2 linked regions of the Anolis sagrei genome follow. The protein of the gene in region 2 interacts with the protein of the main gene of each other region in a pairwise test. Links are inferred from orthologs where the notes say so. Each region holds a gene or a part of one and is shown on either strand. Other genes may lie near its edges.

Region 1 (7,160 bases), on a different chromosome or scaffold from region 2:
CAGTTTACAAAACCTGTAATTGATTTCTTTGGAGGAAGGAAGGACAATTCAAGTCCCATAGGCCTCCATTCCAGGTTAAGGGCCTTCGGAGGAAGGAGGGAGGAAAGAAGAACGGAGCCATGATCTTCCATTTCTGTGTTGAGAAACTTGATTTGGTTTCCTTTCTCCTCGTCTCTGTGTGTATTTTTCGGTCATATTGACTTATTACTTATTTGTTTTGTTTTTGTACATAATTGTCATGCTGGTTTTTAAAGAGTTGTTTTTATTCTTTTAAAAAAATAATTTTTAAAAGGTCTTGGAAAAATGGGAGTATTGGTGAATATTGTGGTTGTTGTAACTTATGAAAGGTTTGCCTTGGAGCAAAGTGGAGCACAGTGACCTTTCTGGCTCCCTTTGCTTCTGTTGACGTCTGTGGCTTGATTTCTTTTGTAAATTGATTAAAAATTAATAAATTAAGCCTTGCTTTTGTTGTGATTCAATGTCAGGCAATGTCTGCTATATCTTTTGGATGGAGATTCCTTGCCCCTTTGAACTTTTGCTTTCCTAAGCAACCGAGATGCCATATAACATTATTTATTTATTTACAGTATTTATATTCCGCCCTTCTCACCCCGAAGGGGACTCAGGGCAGATCACAGAACACATATACAACAAAAATTCAATGCCGCTATACTCTGACAGCACAGACACAGTGCACAGATAGAGGTATCTAGGCTTTTCCCCATCTTTGGCATCTTGGGGGTTGTGCTTGATTCCGGCTGCGGGGGAGGGGGGCGGTGATGTCACTCCATCCTTCATGCCGAAGAGCCCTGGTCACAGACTTGCTTCTTTTGGTCAATCGCTGGCATTTTTTCTGGTATTCCTTATGGTGCCATTGAAATACCTCTCCGCGTTAGCAGTACCTATTTATCTACTCAGTTGTTTTTGATATGCTAGGTGGGCAGTGAGCTGGGCTGAAGGTCGGGCACTCACCCCAGACCCGGGCTTTGAACTGCCAACCTTTTGATTGGCAAGATTTATTGCAGCTGGTGGTTAACCTGTTGTGCTATTATTATTGGAGAGTCCATATAACTCAGAGGAAACATGCCTAGGATGATGATGATGATGATAGATTCCATTATTATTATTATAGCCTCCATATGGCCATGTTCTAGAGGCATTATTATTATTATTATTATTATTATTATTATTTTTTTTTTTCAGAGGAACCATGCATATGATGATGATGATACATTCCATCATCATTATTATTAGGGATTCCATACAATTCAGAGAAAAAGTGCCTAGGTGCATAGTAGTAGTAGTAGTAGTAGTAATAATAATAATAATAATAATACACCATATAATTTAGAGGAAACATGCCTAAGAACATAATACTAAAATAATAATTATTTCCATATTATTATTATTATTATTATTATGACCATACAACTCAGAGGAAACATGCATGGGATGATTATGAGAGTAAGGTAAAGGTAAAGGTAAAGGTAGTACCCTGACATTAAGTCCAATCATGTCTGACTCTGGGGTGTGGTGCTCATCTCCATTTCTAAGCCGAAGAGCCAGCGTTGTCCGTAGACACCTCCAAGGTCATGTAGCCGGCATGACTGCATGGAGCGCCGTTACCTTCCCGCCAGAGCGGTACCTATTAATCTACTCACATTTGCATGTTTTCGAACTGCTAGGTTGGCAGAAGCTAGGGCTGACAGCGGAAGCTCACGCCGCTCCCCGGAATCGAACCTGCGACCTTTCGATCAACAAGCTCAGCAGCTCAGTGCTTTAACCCACTGCGCCACCGGGGGCTCCACGATTATGAGAGTAATGATAATAAATTCCATTATTATTATTATTATTATTATTATTATTATTGACTCCATATAATTAAGAGGAAACATGCCTAGGAACACAATAAAATTATTATTTCATTATTATTATTATTATTATTATTATTATTATAGACCATACAACTCAGAGGAAACGTGTAGGATGATGATGATGATGATGATGATGATAGTAATAACCGATTCCATTATTATTGTCTCCATATAATTCAGAGGAAACATGCCAAGGACAATACTACCACTACTACTACTACTACTACTACTAATAATAATAATGTGTTTAAGCTTCTTTGGTTTTCTTGATCATCTGCAATAAAAAGGGATTCCAAGCTCTGCAATTGTTGTTATTGCTATGTTCCTAAGCTTATTTCCTCTTGAGCATCCAACCATAATTGCAATAATATAATGTGAAGAGCTTGGGATTGCAAATGGGCAATGAAAAGGGAGACCTAATAATAATAATAATAATAATAATAATAATAATATGGAAATAATAATGTAGACTCTGCAAGGAAGCAGATGAAACAATAGATCGTATCCTCAGCTGCTGCAAGATCGCGCAGACAGACTACAAGCAGAGGCATAACACTGTTGCTCAGATGATTAATTGGAACTTGTGCCACAAATACCATCTGCCTGCGACAAAGAACTGGTGGGACCACAAGCCTGAAAAAGTTACAGAAAATGAACACGTCAAACTACTCTGGGACTTCCGAATTCATACTGACAAGAGTTTTGGAGCACACGATCCTGACCTCACGATCGTGTTAAAAAACAAAGTGGATTGCCAATGTTGCAATCTCAGGCGACAGCAGGATTGAAGAGAAACAACTGGAAAAGCCGACACGATATGAGGATTTAAAGATCAAACTGCAAAGACTGTGGCACAAGCCAGTCAAGGTGGTCCCACTGGTGATTGGCACACTGGGTGCATTGCCTAAAGACCTTGTCCTGCACTTAAACACAATCGGCACCGAGAAGATTACCAGCTGCAAAAGGCCAGAGTCTATCTCTTATCCCCTCTCTCTACCCTTTCCCCTCTCCTCTCTTTCTCTGGTTTTCTTCCCTTTGCAACAGTGTTTTTCTATACAATGTTTTATGTCCTTTTAAAAGCATAATAAAAATTTATATATATATATAAAAAGGCCAGCGTGAGAAAAGCGCAGGCAAGCTGGCTCTCACTGGGATCTGCATGCATTATTTGCTGATACATTATTTGCTTTTAAACAGAGGCTGGATGGCCATCTATCAGGGGTGCTTTCAATACAATATTCCTGCTTCTTGGCAGAGGGTTGGACTGGATGGCCCACGAGGTCTCTTCCAATTCTATGATTCTACATCACACAGTCCTAGACACTTGGGAAATGTCTGACATGTGATCCAATACAACAGCCAGCAGAGTGATCTTGTTTGCTGTGGACTCATCTTGTTGTGTTTCAAATAAAATAATAATAATTCTGCTCCTAGGCATATTTCCTCTGAGATAAGGAGTTTCTAATAACATACACATTTCTATATATGATCTGCAAAGTCTTCCATTGAGTTCCAGAGACTTGGAATATAATCCCTTTCTATATAAAAAAAAGGCCAGAGCTCCATCTAGCGGAAATGAAAAGAGAGCCTCCATTCTTCCCAATGATTTGGAAGGGTTTTGACAGTTTTAATAGAAAAAGGGGCCTCCAAGGGCCATCTTGTCCCGCCCTATGGGGTTTGAATGGGAAAGGGACTTCCGAGGGCAATCTAGTCCAACCGTGGAGGCCCTAGACTCCTCCCTCCTCCATTTTCCCGCCTTTTCTTCTCCCAACCGCCATTAACGCTCGCAGTCCGTTTCCCCGCCCCTTCCGCCTTCTCATTGGCCCGTGTCCTTTTCGCGCCCACTCCAGGAGTCCTGATAAGCCCAGAGCGCCTGCCAATCATCCAAAAGAAGCACACTTAAAAAAACCCCCAACGGCTAATGTTGCGCTCTCTTCTCATTGGCCCTCCCCTTTAGTTTCCACGCCCCCTTCGCACTTCCATTGGTTGGCGCCCACCCCAGGGGTCCTGATAGGTCGGGAGCTCCTGTCATTTGTCCAAAAGAATCACAACCCCCCCAACGGTGAACATTGTGCTTCCTTCTCATTGGCTGTCCTCTTTCGTTTTCCCGCCTTCTCCACCCTCTCATTGGATGCCGTCGTGGCGCGGCCCTTGATAGGCCGAGAGCGCTGCCTTTCAATCTTTGCGCTGGCCCTGAGTGCGCATGCTCCCTCTTACTGGCAGCGGGCCCCGCCCTCCGCCTACTTCGGAGCCTGTCAGAGGGATCGGCCCGCTTCGGCCAGGCCTCGTCGGGCCAGCCTTGCCGCCTCGCTCTCCGCGAACGCCGATTGGAAGCGCAGCCAGCGAGGAAGAGCAGAGCAGAGCAGAGCAGGCGCTGCCATGGGGACCCGCGACGACGAGTACGACTACCTCTTCAAAGGTAGGAGGCGAGGGTCTGCGCTTGGGCTGGGCCCGCCCCCTGCCTTTGGGGGGAGGGGCCAAGGGGCGGGGCTTTGCGGAAACCTCCCCTCGGCTCCAGAGTGGGAGGGAACGAGAGCCGAGGGATTTCATAGCAAGGAGGAGGCGGGGCTTCTGGGGTGCCAGGTGGGAGGGGCTTAGGAAGGCTGGGACCGCCCCCTTCCTTGGCGGCCGGGCTTGTGGGGGGACTTTTTCTTGCTTCACAGTGGAAGGGACCTCGATCTAAGGGGGGTTGCGAGGCGGAGCTTGCCTTGAGGACCTCTTCCTTGGCCTCCGAGAGGGAGGAAGGGGCTGAAGAAGGGTCACTGGAGGCGAGGCTTCTTCTGGGACCTCCCCCTGGCTCGAGAGTGGGCGGGGCCTAGAGCTGAGGGAGAGAGGGAGGGAGGTGGTGGGGTTTGTTCTGGGACCTCCTCCTCGGGCCCAAAGTGGGAGGGAGGGGCTTAGGGAGGGGTAACGGGGCGGGGTTTGTTTTGGGGCCTCCCCTTGGCCCAAAGTGGGAGGGAGGGGCTTAGGAACCGTGAATGGGGCGGGGCTAGTTCTGGCACCTCCTCTTTGGCTCCAGAGTGGGAGGAGCCTAGATCTGTGGGAGGAGGCGGAGCTTGTTCTGGGACCTTTTCCTTCCTCTAAAGAAGAAGGGGCTTAGGAAGGGGGAATGGGGTGGGGTTTGTTCTGGGACCTCCCCCCTTGGTCCCAGAGTGAGAGAAGGGCTTAGAAAATGTAGAATGGGGTGGGGCTTGTTCTGGGACCTCCCCTTGGCTCTAGCATGGGTGGAGTCTAGATCTGGCTTATAATAATAGTTGTTATTTATAATATATATTTGTATATATATACACATACACACACAAATGTAATAATTTATTATTATTATTATTATTATTATTATTATTATGTCCTCCAACTGCCATCCTCTTTCTTTGATTGGCTCATGCAACCAAGGCATTAGGTCAACATGTTTTCCTTGGATCCTTTGCTGTTGTTTTCTTCTTGTAGAACCACCCAAGTTGCAGGTTTCCCATTCTCTTTTAATAGTGCATCAAAGGCCATGTTTGCTTCGGGGCCTAACCTTTCTCAAACAATGGAATAGGACTAGGGAATACAAGAGCAGCACAGCTGCTGTCGGTGGCAACTGACCAAGCTTCATCGTTCCTATGGAAGAACTATCAAGTTTGCTGGGTTTCTGAAAGGTGAAATGTCAACGACAAGAAGCAGTTGTTGTTATTATTGTGGGACTTGGAGGAAGTGTATGAAAGCCATTGTGGTGTTTCAGGATCCTGCCTCTCTGCTGGTGTTTTATGAGTGCAGTGCAAAGTTATGTATAAAGAACGCTAAGAGATAACAGACCAAGGGACACCCAATGAATGAAACTTAACAGTGAATCAAACACTGAGTAAAGCATGGTTCTTTCTTTGCAGGGAAATGCCTGAACCTATTATTATTATTATTATTATTATTAAAATCATGAGATATGGTGTCTGAGGCATTATATCATGACTTTTTAGGCCTGAGCAAAGTCGTATCAATGCCCTACGAACCTCAGTCCAAAGCCATATCTATGCTCTACAAACCCAATGTATAGTCTCTCTAATATATAGTGCCTTCGGCATTCTATTAGATATACGGTGTGCTGGGTTTGTAAGGCATTGATATCACTACAAACCCAATGCATAGTTTCTTTAATATATGATGCCTTTGGCATTCTTTTAGATACACAAGACGCTGGGTTAATAGGGCACTGGTTTCACTACAAACCCAGTGTATAGTCTCTCTAATAAATGGTGTCTTTGGCTTTCTATTAGATATACAATATGCCAGGTTTGTAGGGCATTAATATAACTACAAACCTAATGTATAGTCTCTATAATTTATTGTGTCTTTAGCATTCTATTAGATACACAAGATGCTGGGTTTGTAGGGCATAGATATAATTTTGTGTTGTCGAAGGCTTTCAGGGCTGGAATCACTGGGCTGCTGTGAGTTTTTCAGGCTATATGCATCCTTTCCTGACATTTCACCTGCATCTGTGACTACCGGCATCTTCAGAGATTCTGTTGGAAGTGAAGCAAGTGGAGCATATTTCTCTGTGGAATAATGTCCAGGGTGGGAAAAAGAACCCTTGTCTGTGTAAAGCAAGTGTGCATGATGCGATTAGCAAGCTTGAATAGCTTTGAGGAGCCTTGCAGCTGTAAAGTCAATCAATGGGTGTATTTGCATAGAGGGGGGCTGGCTGTTCTTGCCTAGAGGCATCCTTTGTTTGGGAGGTGCTCAATGGCACTTGGTTGTTTGCTATCTGGAATGCCTTGTTTCTTTATTTACTGTCTTGATTCTGGTGTGTTTTGACCCCATGAAAATGAACAAAATCTGGTTACCAGTATTAAAGAAAACACCAGAATCAAGACAGTAAATAAGGAATAACACTCAGAAACAGGAGAGTTCTAGACAGCAGACAACCAAGTGCCAGTTAACACTTCCCAATCAGAGGGTACTCCTAGGCACAGCAACCAGGCTACCTCTATGCAGATTCCCTCACTGATTGACTTCATGGCTACTCAATGCTGTTCAGTTGCAACATTCACACTTGCTTCAAAAAGGCTTGGGAACCAGGGGAATGAGACACCATTACAGTGGAAAGGTGCCTTCCTTTGAGATCCAGGGGTCCCGACCGCAGAGGTGCCCTGCTTCCCTCCCTCCTTCCTTATTTCCTTCCTCCCTGCAGTGGTGCTGATTGGAGACTCCGGGGTAGGAAAGAGCAACCTCTTGTCTCGCTTCACTCGCAACGAGTTCAACCTGGAGAGCAAGAGCACCATCGGGGTGGAGTTCGCCACCCGCAGC
Region 2 (7,301 bases):
AGCAACACGTGGCAGGGGACGGCTAGTATATAAATAAAAATGTAAAGGGCATTTGGATCCTCCTCCTCTCCTAAATGGCCTGGTCTAGGAGATGCTGGGAACTGTAGTCCAGAAGAGAATGTGGATATGCTATTGTGTGTTTGTTTGCCAGGGGGAGTCATTTTGTACATGCACTGTAGCTTCTTTTTGCTTTTTTTGGCTTTTTTAGTCCCTTTTACTGTGTTTTCCTGTATTTTTATGAGTGATGGTCACTCATTGCCCTGATATGTGTATTGTGCCCAAATTTGGTGTCAATTTGTCCAGTGGTTTTTGAGTTATATTGATCCCATCAACCAATATTACCTTTTTATTTATATAGACTAGCCGTCCCCTGCCACGCATTGCTGTGGCCCAGTCTGGTGATCTGGAAAATAAAGTAATTCGAAAGTGTTGGTTTCTAATATATGTAATTTCTTTCTGCTTGTGGGTAAACAGTATTTCTTCCTGTTTCTTTGTCAGTGTTGATGTGGAGAGTATCTGGTTTGCCTACTCTGGAACATGCAACATAATTGTCTTTCTTTAGGGTCCCTTTCAAATCTATGATACTATATCTCCCTGTGTGTGAATCATATATATCTATCTATATCTATGGCTGGGTGGCTCTTTGTCAGGAGGGCTTTGATTACGTTTTCTTGCCCTGGTGAAGAGGGCTCTTTGATTGTAGGTGAACTATAAATCCCAGTAACTACAACTCCTAAATGTTAAAGTCTATTTCTCCCAAACTCCATCTGTGTTCATATTTGGGCATATGGAATATTCGTGCCAAGTTTGGTGCAGATCCATCATTGTTTGAGTCCACAGTGCTCTCTGAATGTAGGGGTGAACTACCACTCTCAAACTCAAGGTCAATGTCCACCAAACCCTGCTAGTGTTTTTGTTGGTCCTGGGAGTCCTGTGTGCCAAGTTTGGTTCAATTCCATCTTTGGTGGAGTTCAGAATGCTCTTTGATTTTAAGAAATACTGTTTAAGTAAACTATAAATCATCGCAACTATTCTGCGATAAATATTACTAATAATATTACAGGATAATGTTATAGCACAATGTAATATATAATATTAATATAGTGCTATGATAATAATATATTGTATTTACTTTTTACTTGTAAGCCACTCTGAGTCCCCTTCGGGGTGAGAAGGCCGTCATATAAATGTCGTAAATAAATAAATAAACTACAACTCCCAAATGACAAAATCAATTTTTGAGTGATGGTCACTCCTTGGGTTAGTAGGTGTCTTGTGGCCAAATTTGGCGGCAATTCGTCCAGTGGTTTTTGAGTTATGTTAATCCCACAAACATACATTACATTTTTATTTATATACTAGCCGTCCCCTGCCACGCGTTGCTGTGGCCCACTCTGGTGGTCATGGGGATTCTGTGTGGGAGGTTAGGCCCAATTCTATCATTGGTGGGGTTCAGAATACTCTGTGATTGTTGGTGAACTACAAATCCCAGCAACTACAACTCCCAAATCTCAAGATTCTATTTTCCCCAAACTCTGCCAGTGTTCACATTTGGGCATATTGAGTATTCGTGCCTAGTTTGGTCCAGATCCATCACTGTTTGAGTCCACAGTGTTCTCTGGATCTAGGTGAACTACAACTCCAAAACCAAAGGACACTGCCCACCAAACCCTTCCAGTATTTTCTGTTTGTAATGGGAGAACTGTGTGCCAAGTTTGGTTCAATTCCATCGTTGCTGGGGTTCAGAATGCTCTTTGATTGTAGGTGAACTATAATTCCCAGCAACTACAACTCCCAAATGACAAAATCAATTTTTTTTGAGTGAAGGACATACATTGGGTTGTTAGGTGTCTTGTGTCCAAATTTGGTGTGAATTCGCCCAGCGGTTTTTGAGTTCTGCTAATCCCACAAACAAACATTACATTTTTATTTATATAGATATGAAAATATCCCAAAATCCAAGACACTTCTGGCTCTAAACATTTCAGATAAGGGATCCTCACTCTGTATCCCCATTGAAAGGAATCCGGAGATCCTCACGAACACTGGGAGCACATCTACACTGCAGAATGAATGGAGTTTGGCACCTCTTTCCCTGTTATGGGATCCTGGAGTTCAGTCAGTGAAGCACCTGCACTCTTGAGCAGAGAAAGGCTGAATGTTATGGGGATCCTGGAGGTTGCAGTTTAGTTAGGGGGGCACTTGCACTCTTTGGCAGAGAAGACCTTGTAAAACTGCAGCTCCCAGGCTCCCACTGTCTCGAGGCATGGGAGTTCAAGTGGTGCCAAACTGCATTAACCCTACAGTGTGGATGCACCTTGTCTTGAAGTCCAAAGCAAAGCGTAAAAGTGAGGCGCAGAGAAAGAAAGTAGTGGAGAGTGGAGGGAACTCCATCTGCGGCGGTGCCGGGAAGGGGAGGGGGGGCATGGAAAGAAGGGCTCCCAGGCCCCCCAAATAGCCCTGGGAAACCCACAGAGGGGGGGAATGGGAAGGGGAAAGGCTGCCCTACACGTATCTATCCCCCAAACGCCTGGCCTTGGCCTTACCTTGGTGTAGAGCTCCGCCACCGACATGTCCTCCTGGCGGGCGGTGCGCAAGGCGAGCCCAGTCCTCGAAGCATCCAAAAAAGGCGCCCCAAAAAGAGGAGGAAAAGCCCTTCGGTACAATCCAAAGTCCGGCCCGGGAGAAGGAGGAGGAGGAGGAGGAGGAAGAGCCCAGGAAGTGCGGCGCTTGGGCAGAGGAGAGGAGAGGAAAAGAGAGAGGAGAGGAGAGAGCCGGGCGGTGCAAAGCCGGAGGGAAGCGCCCGACCTTTGCCCGTCTCCCGGGGAAAACTTACTGGACGAAAGGCAAAGGGAGGGAGAAGCGGAAGGGGGAGGGACGGGGCGGGGCTGCCTGGCCGCTCCCTCGCCAGGTAAAAGGGAAGGCAGGTAGGGAAGCAAGCGTGCGCAATGGGGCGCTCCCTCCCCGCCTGGTTTGCCGGGCTTTGCAGGTGCCTCGGCTCCTTTGGCGCACCGGCTGCCTTTGGCTTCAGGAAGGAAGGGAGGAAGGAAGCAAGGCTGGCTTCGCCCTCTGCTGGACGAGGAAACTTCCCTCCCTCTCTCCTTCCCTCCAAAGGGAACCCCGCAGCAAATTCCAAGTTTGGAGAAATTATATATACTTTTTGGGCTGTAGCCAATAGGACTGAACTGACCACGGAACAACAGACTGGTTCAAGATTGGGAAAGGCGTCTGGCAAGGCTGCATCCTCTCACCCAACCTTTTTAACTTGTATGCAGAACACATCATGCGATGTGTGGGGCTGGATGAATGCAAAGCTGGGGTGAAAATTGCTGGAAGAAACATTAACAATCTCAGATATGCAGATGACATCACTCTGATGGCCGAAAGCGAGGAGGAGCTGAGGAGCCTTCTAATCAAGGTGAAAGAAGAAAGCGCAAAAGCCGGGTTGCAGCTAAACATCAAAAAAAAAAAAACAAGATTATGGCAACAAGAATGATTGACAACTGGAAAATAGAGGGAGAAAATGTGGAGGCCGTGACAGACTTTGTATTTCTAGGTGCAAAGATGACTGCAGATGCAGACTGTGGCCAGGAAATCAGAAGACGCTTACTTCTTGGGAGGAGAGCAATGTCCAATCTCGATAAAATAGTGAAGAGTAGAGACATCAGACTGGCAACAAAGACCCGCCTAGTCAAAGCCATGGTATTCCCTGTAGTCACCTACGGATGTGAGAGCTGGACCTTAGGGAAGGCTGAGCGAAGGAAGATCGATGCTTTTGAGCTGTGGTGTTGGAGGAAAGTGCTGAGAGTGCCTTGGACTGCGAGAAGATCCAACCAGTCCATCCTCCAGGAAATAAAGCCCGACTGCTCACTGGAGGGAAGGATACTAGAGACAAAGTTGAAGTACTTTGGCCACATCATGAGGAGACAGCAAAGCCTAGAGAAGACAATTATGCTGGGGAAAGTGGAAGGGAAAAGGAAGAGGGGCCGACCAAGAGCAAGATGGATGGATGGCATCCTTGAAGTGACTGGACTGACCTTGAAGGAGCTGGGGGTGGTGACGGCCGACAGGGAGCTCTGCCGTGGGCTGGTCCATGAGGTCACAAAGAGTCGGAGACGACTGAACGAATGAACAGCCAATAGGATCCCTCCCTGGAGGAATTGCAAAGGAGGCAAGCAACACCTGGAGGCAGCAAAGAAATCCCTGTATGTGTCTCCAGAAATTGTCCTTTCAGAATGGCCCAAAATTTATTTATTTATTTATTTACTTTATTTGTATACCGCTCTTCTCAGCCCTTAGGCGACTCAGAGCGGTTTACAACAATTTAGGTATACACAATACAAAATCATTAAGCATTTAAAAGCAATAGCATCACAAATCATTAAGCATCAATATATCACTACATCAATATAACAAATCCATCAGGTCTCATCAATGAAATCAGAATCCAAACCCGTTATCCGATATTCCGTGTTCCGATAGTCAATCAATCACACTGCTTAGTCGAATGCCTGTTCAAACAGCCAGGTCTTTACTTTCCTCCGTAATGCCAGCAAGGAGGGGGTCGATCTAATATCTGCAGGAAGGGCGTTCCATAGCCGAGGGGCCACCACTGAGAAGGCCCTGTCTCTCATCCCCGCCAGGCATGCTTGTGAAGCCGGCGGGATCGAGAGCAGGGCCTCCCCAGACGATCTTAATGTCCTAACTGGTTCATAGGAGGAGACGCATTCAGACACGTAGGTCGGGCCAGAACCGTTTAGGGCTTTAAAGGCTAAAGCCAGCACTTTGAATTGTGCCCAGTAGCAAATTGGCAGCCAGTGGAGCTGGCGAAGCAGTGGAGTGGTGTGCTCCCTGAGTGCCGCTCCTGTTAGCATCCTGGCTGCTGATCGTTGGACCATTTGAAGCTTCCAAGCAGTCTTCAGAGGCAACCCCACGTAGAGAGCGTTGCAGTAGTCTAAACGGGATGTGACTAGAGCATGGACTACCGTGGCCAAGTCAGGCTTCCTAAGGTACAGGCGCAGCTGGCGCACTAGTTTTAACTGTGCGAATGCTCCCCTCGTCACCGCTGAAACCTGGGGTTCCAGGCTCAGCGATGAGTCCAAGATCACACCCAAGCTGCGAACCTGCGTCTTCAGGGGGAGTGGGTCGACTTAACCAGGGATCAGTGTTGCTACTTACCCAGGCAGTCCCCAAGTTACAAACAATAGAGGTTCTGAAGGTGCCTTCTTAAGTTGCATTTTACCAGCTGTTTGGATTTCAGCCGCTTGTGAGTTCTTACAGATAGATTACTCTGACCTTTAGAACGCAGGACTGAGATTAACCCCTTCTATCCCTTTGCAGCAGTCATCATCTTCTTTTACCCATCACCAACTGCTATGCATGACGCCAACTACCATCAACTACAGGACGTTACACCTAGGCACAAAACTGCCCCTGTTCATCATGATGCCTCTGAACTATCAGAGTTAAAATTTGGGGGGTGTATGCGCAGCGGAAGAGGTGCTAGATCAAACAGACACAGGACTCCAAAAATTCCAGGACTCTGCAGTTTTCCAGTTTTAAAATAACAAAGTTTGCTAAGTACATTTCAATACACGTCTACATCTAAGCGGGCAAAATCAGGAACTACAAAGCACAGCTTCAGTACAGTCTCGGAACATCTGCTTATCAGGCTCTCTGGCTGTAAGCTGGAAACTCCCTTTTTCTTCCCAGCAGAGAAACATGTTATCTAACTTCTGTCAAGGTCTCTTCTCTCTGTACCTCTCTGTCTCTTACAACAACAATTCCAACACATAATTGAACATAACAGAATCCATCTTGAATACATATTAACACCATTCTTAATCATATAGAAACACATTTAAAAACCATACATGCATACCTTCAGTAATCCTGACATTGAACAATATTTGGAAATCTGGCTAGTATTTGTGCTGGGCTAGTTTCCATCATCTCTTACTCAGTAGGCCCACTGACAACCCAGAATGTAGCAGGTTGGTATGGTAGCTCAACCTATGTTAGGAAAAGCCGCCTAAAATATAACAAAATGGATTAGACCAAAATTCCATCTAACCAAGCATCATGCTTCCAACATTGGTCACCAGGAGGTCTCCAACAAGCTTGCCTTTGAGTCATGCTTCTCACTTGAGAGGTACAGTGTCTTTAAATATAGAGGTTCATTATGCAATCATACTTAATAGCCATTAATAGACCTATCGGCCTATCTGTTTAACTTCTATGCTGAACATTTCAAACAAAAACATGGATTAGACTCTGAGGATGGAAGCATGAACATTGGTAGCACACCAACAGTCTAAAAAAAATTGATTAGAACATATTAAGGTATACTGAAAACGGGGTGAGTTTTGAAAGGATCAGTACCAAGGTTGGAATAGATATATGTGTTAAGGAAAAAAACTCATTCAGTTCTTGTGGGTTTTTTCGGGCTATATGGCCATGTTCTAGAGGCATTTCTCCTGACGTTTCGCCTGCATCTATGGCAAGCATCCTCAGAGGGTCTGGTTGCAATTAGTACAATGGGTTTATATATCTGTGGAATGGTTGGGGTGGGGCAGGGAGCTCTTCCCTGCTGCAGTTAGGTGTGAATGTTAGCTAATCACCTTCATTAGCATTTGAAGGCCTGCCTGAGTCTGGGAAAATCTGTTGCTGGGAGTTGTTAATCTGTGCCTGGTTTCTTCCTCATGCTGGTGATCACTGTATGCAGGTGCTAATTAAGGTCAGGAGGTTTGGACCACACCCGGTAAGAGTATAACTGGGTGTATTTTAGGATACATGTTGGCTCTCTATTTTGGGAGTTGGAGAAGCCATGCTGTGTTTTGTGATGGATACAAGGACTATGACCTTGATTATGATTGACCTGGATTGTGATGTTGTACTTGTGTGATTTTAAATAAATGTGTCAATAATTGTTTTTAACAAATTATTTTAATTATAACTCTTTTTTTGTAAGTTAGAGTGATGGCATTGAATGGCTGCCTGTTGTGAAGCTGCCCGGACTCCCCCCTCGAGAGTGAGGATAGGATACAAATATGCAAAATAAATAAATATGTAAGTTTGTTACTCTGTAGGATTCATTTTTGATGCAATGATACAAGTTTATATGTTTCCTAACTTCAACTGTGTGAAGTTAGTGTGTCTTTGTAGGACCAGACCAGTGGTCCTCAACCTTCCTAATATCATGGGCCTTTAATATAGTTCCTAAAATTGTGGTAGTCCCCAAACATAAAATTATTTTCATTGCTACTTCAGAATTGTAATTTTGCTGTTGTTATGAATTTTAA

What was found.
Region 1: the proteins of MYO5B (region 2) and RAB11B interact in binary tests that used the Homo sapiens proteins (3 or more experiments, as listed by UniProt). The link is inferred for Anolis sagrei from reciprocal best matches to the Homo sapiens genes MYO5B and RAB11B.

Annotation. Positions count from the first base shown.
Region 1 is NC_090034.1:29,324,537-29,331,696, reverse strand, and holds the start of RAB11B (ras-related protein Rab-11B), read left to right. Parts: upstream 1-4,077; 5' UTR 4,078-4,253; coding exon 4,254-4,293; intron 4,294-7,044; coding exon 7,045-7,160. UniProt on the Homo sapiens protein: The small GTPases Rab are key regulators of intracellular membrane trafficking, from the formation of transport vesicles to their fusion with membranes.
Region 2 is NC_090022.1:287,337,741-287,345,041, reverse strand, and holds the start of MYO5B (unconventional myosin-Vb), read right to left. Parts: upstream 3,043-7,301; 5' UTR 2,574-3,042; coding exon 2,547-2,573; intron 1-2,546. UniProt on the Homo sapiens protein: May be involved in vesicular trafficking via its association with the CART complex. The CART complex is necessary for efficient transferrin receptor recycling but not for EGFR degradation.